Canis lupus familiaris: one gene and its partner. The protein of the gene in region 1 interacts with the protein of each later gene in a pairwise test. Links are inferred from orthologs where the notes say so. Each region holds a gene or a part of one and is shown in the gene's direction. Other genes may lie near its edges.

Region 1 (3,807 bases):
GCGGACTCCGGCCTGTTGCCATGGCGACCAAGCCCGCTCCCGGGCGCGTCCCCCTCCGTCGGGCTAATGGAATCGTCCCCGGACCGCCTGCCTCCGCGGTCGCCTGCGGGTGCTGCGGGCTGAACCATTGCTGGGAGAGGGAGACTAGAGGCCTATGCGGCTGGGCGTGTTCTGCGCACCCTGGCCTCCGCCAGGGTCGCACGTCCACGTTCCTCTTCTGAGGCGCAGAACCCAACCGGACCCAGGGCGGGGCGCACGGTCCCGTAGGATCCGAGTGACGGAGGCAGGGCCGGGCTCCTTCCCCCGGGGCTGTTGCCACACTTCCTGCCGCGGCGCTCTTTCCCCAGCCTGTTTCTAAGGAAGGAGTGGGGTTGGGCGACCGCGCCCGGGCCGTCGGGGTAGGTTCAGCACCCTGAGTCGGCACGGTGTCGGTCAAGCCCCGGGTCACGGGGGGAGGGCTTGGAGATGGGAGCAAAGTATACTGGCGCCTAGAAAGCACCCACAAGAAGGGGTGGCCAGTCATGGAAGATCCAGCAGTCCAAATCCCCAGGATCCTCAAAAACCCCTCCTCTCATGTCTCAGCTGGAGACCCTGTGTCATTATCATCTCGGCTCTGAAAGTGTGTCCGGACTCTTAACTCTCCTTCATCAGGGCTTTGCAGATGACCCCAGTGACTCCCAACCTCTGACAGGGTCCCCCCCCCCATAATTTCCCAGACTCGGTATACCCCGGAGCCCTCACTTTCTACATAACTAGATTCCCCTTATGGAGGCCCTCAGTCTCTCCCATGGACTTCAGGACCCCTACTCATTTTTTGCATAATGGATCCTCCATCCCCTCCTTTTGCCCTTTTGATCCCCCCCTCACTTTTCCTGGGTTCAGTCCCTCTATTAAAATTCAAGTCCTTTAACCCCTCTGTACTCAGGACCCCCACACATTACCTTACCCCTCTCTCATTTACTCTGGTTGATCCTCCTGTCTCACCTTTGTGGGGTCTCCCTGTGTATATAATCAGCCCTTCAACCCCCCTCGAATACTCCGAGTCCCTCAGGCCTTTTGTGTACACCCTGGAGACCACCCCCGCCCTCCGCCCCAACACGCACACGCGCACGCACGCACACACACACACACACACACACACTTGCTTTGTAACAGTTCCTCGCATCCAGGGGAATCAGTGCCTTCCCTGGAGTCCCTCCCCGTGTATCTCGGACCAGCACCCCTTCCTTCGCGCACCCCGGGGTCCCCTGAGCCCCTCCCCCTGCAGCCGCGCCGAGCCACCCAGCCCGTGGCCGCTGTTTACAAGGACACGCGCTTCCTGACAGTGACGCGAGCCGCCTCCTCCCCTTCCCCACGCTGGAGGAGGGGGGCGCGGGGGCCCGGCTCGCGCGACGGCCAATCGGAGCGCACTTCCGTAGCTGACAATAGCCGTATAAAGGCGTGTGGCTCAGCCTGAGCTGCCGGGACCTTGAGCGCGGCCAGGCCAGCACCGGAGTCAGCAGGGAGCGGGGAGCAGGGGGAAGCGACACCAGGAAAGCGAGCGCGCCGGACAGGGGCCGAAGGGCTCGAGAAGCCGCACGGAGCTTCCGCGCACCGCCGCCGGCTGGCCTCTCCCGGCCGGTGCCAGCTCCTGGGAACGCGCGTCCAGATACCCAGTCCAGCCACCGTCGCGGACAGGGCGCCGCTCGCCGCAGCGAGGCCCGGGGCGGCCCCGCAGGGACCCCCCCAGACCGCCTGGGCCGCCCGGATGTGCACTAAAATGGAACAGCCCTTCTACCACGACGACTCATACGCAGCGGCGGGATACGGCCGGGCTCCGGGCGGCCTTTCTCTACACGACTACAAACTCCTGAAACCCAGCCTGGCGCTCAACCTGGCCGACCCCTACCGAAGTCTCAAAGCCCCCGGGGCGCGGGGCCCGGGACCAGAGGGCAGCGGTGGCAGCAGCTACTTTTCCGGCCAGGGTTCGGACACAGGCGCGTCGCTCAAGCTTGCCTCATCGGAGCTGGAGCGCCTGATCGTCCCCAACAGCAACGGAGTGATCACGACGACACCCACGCCCCCGGGACAGTACTTTTACCCCCGCGGGGGAGGCAGCGGCGGAGGTGCGGGGGGCGCCGGGGGCGGTGTCACCGAGGAGCAGGAGGGCTTCGCAGACGGCTTTGTCAAAGCGCTGGACGACCTGCACAAGATGAACCACGTGACGCCCCCCAACGTGTCCCTGGGCGCCAGCTCGGGGCCCCCGGCTGGGCCCGGGGGCGTCTACGCCGGCCCGGAGCCACCTCCAGTCTACACCAACCTCAACAGCTATTCCCCAGCCTCTGCGCCCTCTGGAGGCGCCGGGGCCGCCGTCGGGACTGGGAGCTCGTACCCGACGGCCACCATCAGCTACCTCCCACACGCGCCACCCTTCGCTGGCGGCCACCCGGCGCAACTGGGCCTGGGCCGAGGAGCCTCCACCTTCAAGGAGGAACCGCAGACCGTGCCTGAGGCGCGCAGCCGCGACGCCACGCCACCGGTGTCCCCCATCAATATGGAAGACCAGGAGCGCATCAAAGTGGAGCGCAAGAGGCTGCGGAACCGGCTGGCGGCCACCAAGTGCCGGAAGCGGAAGCTGGAGCGCATCGCGCGCCTGGAGGACAAGGTGAAGACACTCAAGGCCGAGAACGCGGGGCTGTCGAGCACTGCTGGGCTCCTCCGGGAGCAGGTGGCCCAGCTCAAACAGAAGGTCATGACCCACGTCAGCAACGGCTGCCAGCTGCTGCTCGGGGTCAAGGGACACGCCTTCTGAACGCCCCCCCATACGGACATTCCCCCAGTCTGGACGACTGGGCGCACGCCTCCCAAGGGGCGAGGGGGCAGGCGGTGGGCACCGGCCCCCGGGGCACCGCAAACCACACTGGACTCCTGCCCGCCCGCTCTGCGTCCAGTCCTTCCACTTCGACGTTTACAAGCCCCCCTTTCGCGTTTTTTTGTATGTTTTTTTTTTTTCTGCTGGAAACAGACTCGATTCATATTGAATATAATATATTTGTGTATTTAACAGGGAGGGGAGGAGGGGGCGATCGCGGCGGAGCTGGCCCCGCCGCCCGGTACTCAAGCCCGCGGGGACACTGGGGAAGGGACCCCCGCCCCCTGCCCTCCCCCCTCTGCATCGTACTGTGGATAAGAAACACGCACTCGGTCCCTAAAGAGTTTATTTTAAGATGTGTTTGTGTGTGTGTGTGTTTGTTGTTCCGACTTTTTATTGAATCTATTTAAGTAAAAAAAAAAATGGTTCTTTATTAATTTGTTGTCTTTTTTTCCAAGCCGGGCGGGAGGAGGGAGGAGAATAGTGGGCTGCCCCCACCCCACTCCTGCTTGTGACTCGCGCCAGTGTCCGTGTCCTCCTCGCCAGCTCTACCTAAGCATCTTGCAGCCCTAGTGCGGGCGGCGGACCCTTCTCTGGCCCCCTCCTCCCCGGGGTTGGAAGGGCCAGGGCGGGTACGCGGTCCAGCCGCCCATCACCAGGGGGCAGGAGGCCTGGGGCGAGACGCGCAGTGCGCGGGCGCAGCCCCGCCCAGCTGCGCGCGCTGGGGCTTTCCCCGCTGACGCAGCGGAAGCGCTGCCCCTACATGGGCCGATTCTGTCCAGTGACGCGCCGGCGGTCTCCGGGCAGATTCCGGGAATCCCCTCCCCCGCTCTGCCGGGCAGGGCTGCGGCGCCGGGAAGGGGGCCGGGATTTTCCCAGGCAGGCGGCTGCCGGGGCCCGGAAAGCCCCAGGCCTGGGTCCAGAGCGTCCGCGGTGGGAGGGCCAAGCTCCTGGGT
Region 2 (4,134 bases), on another chromosome or scaffold:
AACCAATGGATCAAAGGAGAAATTAGAAGGAATATTACAAAGAAGAAATGACAAGGGATATTTAAAAATACTTAGAGATGAACAAAAACTACAATACAAGAAAACTTATGGGATATATACAACGGAATATCACTTTGTTTATTGTCTGCCTCTTCCGCTCGAATATAACTTCCAGTAGGAAAGGAATTTTGTTTTGCTCAATATATCCTATGGGACAATATTGCCTTCAGACAGAAATTCCCACCAGTGGATACAAAATCCTTTAGGGGCCATGCTTCCTAGCTTTCCTAAGACTAAGCAAGGCAAGCATTTGGCTTTGAGCCATACTGGGAATAAAGCAAAGGCTTTTTTTTTTAAAGCCAAAATGCCCCCGTGAGGTTGGATTGCTTACTGAGAACTCCACAAATGTGCTCATGGCAAGGCTAATAGCACAAGTAACACCTGTCTTCACAGCATATTTTACCGCCTACTAGGGGCGTTCTAATCCACGCTTACCCACTTGCTTCTGGAAACAGCCCAAGAAGTGGGCAGGGAGGATTTTATTGCGCTCCATTTACAGGTGGAGGTAGAGGGGCGTAGAGCTCAGGTGAGCTACCCAAGGCCACCGGCGTTCTGGAAAGTCAGAATGCAAGTCCCCGGTACAGTGCTCATTTCACTGTTTCTTACGGTTCCTCCATTCTGGGCTTTGACCCGGTGACGCACTTGAATCATGAAGATTCGAAGCCCATCCTGAGCTCCTGAAAGACCCTGGACGAGAGAAGCAGCCCTTCCCCAAAGACAGCACGCTGCTGAGGGGCCGAGGTGACGGGCAGATGTTGGGAACACGCACGGCAGAGCCTGTCGCCGGCCTTCAGGTCTCTCCGGGCCTCTTCTGCCGGGTAGTCGGGCAAGGACCAGGCCCACCACGGGGCAGGTTGGGCGGCTGCTTTGGGGTAAAAAAAACAAAACACACACACACACACACACACACACAAACAACAGAAAGAAATCCCAATCTCATTGCTTTATTTTGGTTCAAAAATCAAGTCGGCTGATAATGGAAACTCTTTCCCTCTGCCCTCCGGCCCGTGTTGACGGGAGGCGGCCTTGCTAATTCGGGCTGGGGTTTTTCCCTGCCCGGGCTGTTTTTCTCTTTTATCTTCATCAATTGAAGAGAGCTGTGCTGCCTTTCAAACAGTCGGAAGGTATCTGGGGTTTTGTGTATTTTTTTTTCTTCCTTTCATATAATTCTGCGGGTCTTTTCCCAGATATGTATTTTCTCTCAAATTAACTTCTAACTTGTTTAAGTTTCCGCCCATGTGACTTCCAGTGTGAGTTACCAGAAACCACAAGAGAGAGAGCGCGCGCACGAGCCCCAAAGCGAGCGACATGTCCCTGTGGGGAGCAGTGCCTCTGCACCCCAGAGTGAGGAGGACGCAGGGGCCAGAGGCGGCGGCGCGGGCACAGGAGCCACCTGCGCAGGGGGCTGGGCCGCTGGCCTGGGAGCCGGCAGCCAGGGACGCCCGCTGGTGACCCAGAGCCCAGGGGCGCCTGGGGCGGTGCGGGGAGCCCGGAAGACTGCAGCCATGCCTCACAGCTCCGACAGCAGCGACTCCAGCTTCAGCCGCTCTCCTCCCCCTGGCAAACAGGTAGAGCCCCTTCCCCTGCAGCCCACCTTCTCCCTCTCTGGGGAGGGACGGGGGTGGGGGCGTCGGAGGGCCAGGCTCCCTCGGCCTGTCCAGGGGCCCAGCGAGCGAGGAAGTGGCTGGTGGCAGGAGCAGCCTGTCACGCTGGCGACCTGGTCCTTGCAATGAAGCGGCCGGGACCCTGGCCCTGCACCTGTTCTACCCAGGACCCTTTACCTCTCTGCTCCCGCTGCCTGCCTCCCCCGGGTCCCCACCCCACCGAGCTTTCTAGGAAGCCCGGAGGAGAATGTGCACCAAAGAGCCCTGGTCTCTCAAAGGAGGAGGTCCCCCTTGCTCCGAGGCAGTAGGAACGGGAGAGGCACAGCATCACAGGGCTGGGCCGGCCTGTGCCTTCGGGGGAGGGGGCCATCAGGGCAAGAGAGGGAAGCGTCAGGGAAAAGGAAAGGAGAAAAAAAAAAAAAGCAAGTTAGAGGAGGAAGCCAGGCAAGCCTAGAAGAATCTCTCTTATCTACTGGGGCACTGCCCCTGCTGCTAGCACAGCCAGCAGAGACGGATGCCGGAGCTGCCACCAAGCCTCTTCCGCCCGTGGCTTCTGGACCAGAGGAAAGAATCAGGAGAGGGCGTTGGAGCTTCCTGGAGACACTCACTAGAAGCTTGGCTCGGCTCGGGGGGGAAACCACAGTGATGGAGGTAGAGAGTCTGGGAGTGTTTGGAATCTAGATTGTGACTTCCAAGTCCAAAGTTTTCAGCTTGAGGCTTGCCAAGAAATAGGGCACCCTGCCTTCCCCCAAAGCTTCTGGAGCTTTGTCTTCTCCGCATTTCTTGGCATTCCTCTCCAGAGAAAGGCTTCTTCATTCTCACCCAATACCTCAAAGGATTAAAACTTCTTCTCCAACTTTGTGGTTTAAAAGCCACATTCTTTCCTTAGCACAGTTATCCAAGAGGGCTTCCAAGATGCTGCAGCTGAAATAAGAGTATATAAACGTCTAATACAGCATCTGTCATAAATGTTGCACAGAGGAGCAGCAGGTTGGAAGGAGTTATAGTGGAGACCTCTAGAGGGCAACCAGTCCAGGCCTCTGCTCCAGATGGTATCACGATGGGTCAGGCTGCCTGGAAGTCTGTACTCTTCTTAGGAAGGAAATTACTCATGGCTTCCATGGTAACCTGGTTCCCCATGCCGCTTAGAGCAAAGCACTTCCTTCCCATCTAACACCATGCCCTCCTGCTGCAATGGCCTGGAAGTGCTGGGCACGCTGCTGAGACTTATGCTTGGTGAGCACAGTCTTGCCCGGGAAATAGTGTCCCTGTCTCCTGTGTGGGTGTGAGAGGGAACAGGGCAGGAGCTGCAGAAGGGTCTTACTCAAACTCCTATACTTATCCTGCAGTATCTAGGGGAATGCTGGAGCTAACCTCTCTGCCCAAGCAGAGGACATGTCCGTCTGTGGGATATACTTAGAGGACACCCGGAGGTCCTCCTGTGCTAAGCACCCATTCAGTACCTGCCACAGCCAGGTAATCTCCACCATTAAAGCTGTTCTTGGCTACTGGTTTCTATTAGGCATTGTGCTCAGGACCATAGGGAAGGTCAACATCACTGAGCATAATGAAGGGAATGTAAGGAGAAAAGAATGCGGGAGAAAAGATCTGGGATGGGGACCTCAGCCCAGGTATGTGGTGGAAGACATGTGGGTACAAACCAGTGAGGGGCGGGGAGTGGCTTGGAAAGGCATCAGACTTAGCATCAGAAGACACAAGGCCCCAGATTACCTAGGCTCCTCGGCAAGCCCTTTGAGCCTCACTCAGTCTCCTCACGTATAAGATAGAAACAATAATATCAACTTCACAGAACTGAGGAATTAAACCAGAGCAACTCTGAAAAAGCACTTGCGCAGAAGTTGGCATATTGTAGGTCCTCGGCAAAGTTTTGGAAAAAAAAAAAAAAAGGCAAGAAAATGCTAGTCCAAAAAAAAAAAAAAAGAGAGTAAGGGTGGAGCAGCCCTGAAGAGGAGAGGTGATGAACACACTTCATCGCCTTGACCATTTTTTTCCAAATACAGCCCTATCGAGGCCCCAGGGTCTTTTTCCTCTTCCTGTAGCTTTTGGCCAAAACAGCTATAGGGACCTAAGGGAGCGTAACAGAGTGTGGGGAAGAGTTCTCTTGCAGGCTCAGCATTTTGGTAAGCAGGGGGTGAAGGGGCAAATGAAAAGATGAAGAAACGGAAGGATGCACAGACGGATACCAAACAGCATGAGAACCTGCTTTAATCCAAAAGAGAGAACACACTCACCTAATTCCCATCGTTTCTGCTTCCCAGGACTCCTCCGATGATGTGAGAAAAGTTCAGAGAAGGGAGAAAAATCGCATTGCTGCCCAGAAGAGCCGACAGAGGCAGACGCAGAAAGCTGACACCCTGCACTTGGTGAGTGTTCAGACATTTTTTCAACCTCTTGAGCTATAGGCTCCCTACCACCCAGAGATGCTTGGACCATAGCTTTGAGGCTGCCT

Evidence for each region.
Region 2: the proteins of JUNB (region 1) and BATF interact in binary tests that used the Homo sapiens proteins (3 or more experiments, as listed by UniProt). The link is inferred for Canis lupus familiaris from reciprocal best matches to the Homo sapiens genes JUNB and BATF.

What each region holds. Positions count from the first base shown.
Region 1 is NC_049241.1:49,756,890-49,760,696, reverse strand, and holds JUNB (transcription factor jun-B), read left to right. Parts: upstream 1-1,451; 5' UTR 1,452-1,747; coding exon 1,748-2,791; 3' UTR 2,792-3,288; downstream 3,289-3,807. UniProt on the Homo sapiens protein: Transcription factor involved in regulating gene activity following the primary growth factor response. Binds to the DNA sequence 5'-TGA[GC]TCA-3'.
Region 2 is NC_049229.1:48,851,450-48,855,583, forward strand, and holds the start of BATF (basic leucine zipper transcriptional factor ATF-like), read left to right. Parts: upstream 1-1,319; 5' UTR 1,320-1,565; coding exon 1,566-1,628; intron 1,629-3,943; coding exon 3,944-4,048; intron 4,049-4,134. UniProt on the Homo sapiens protein: AP-1 family transcription factor that controls the differentiation of lineage-specific cells in the immune system: specifically mediates the differentiation of T-helper 17 cells (Th17), follicular T-helper cells (TfH), CD8(+) dendritic cells and class-switch recombination (CSR) in B-cells.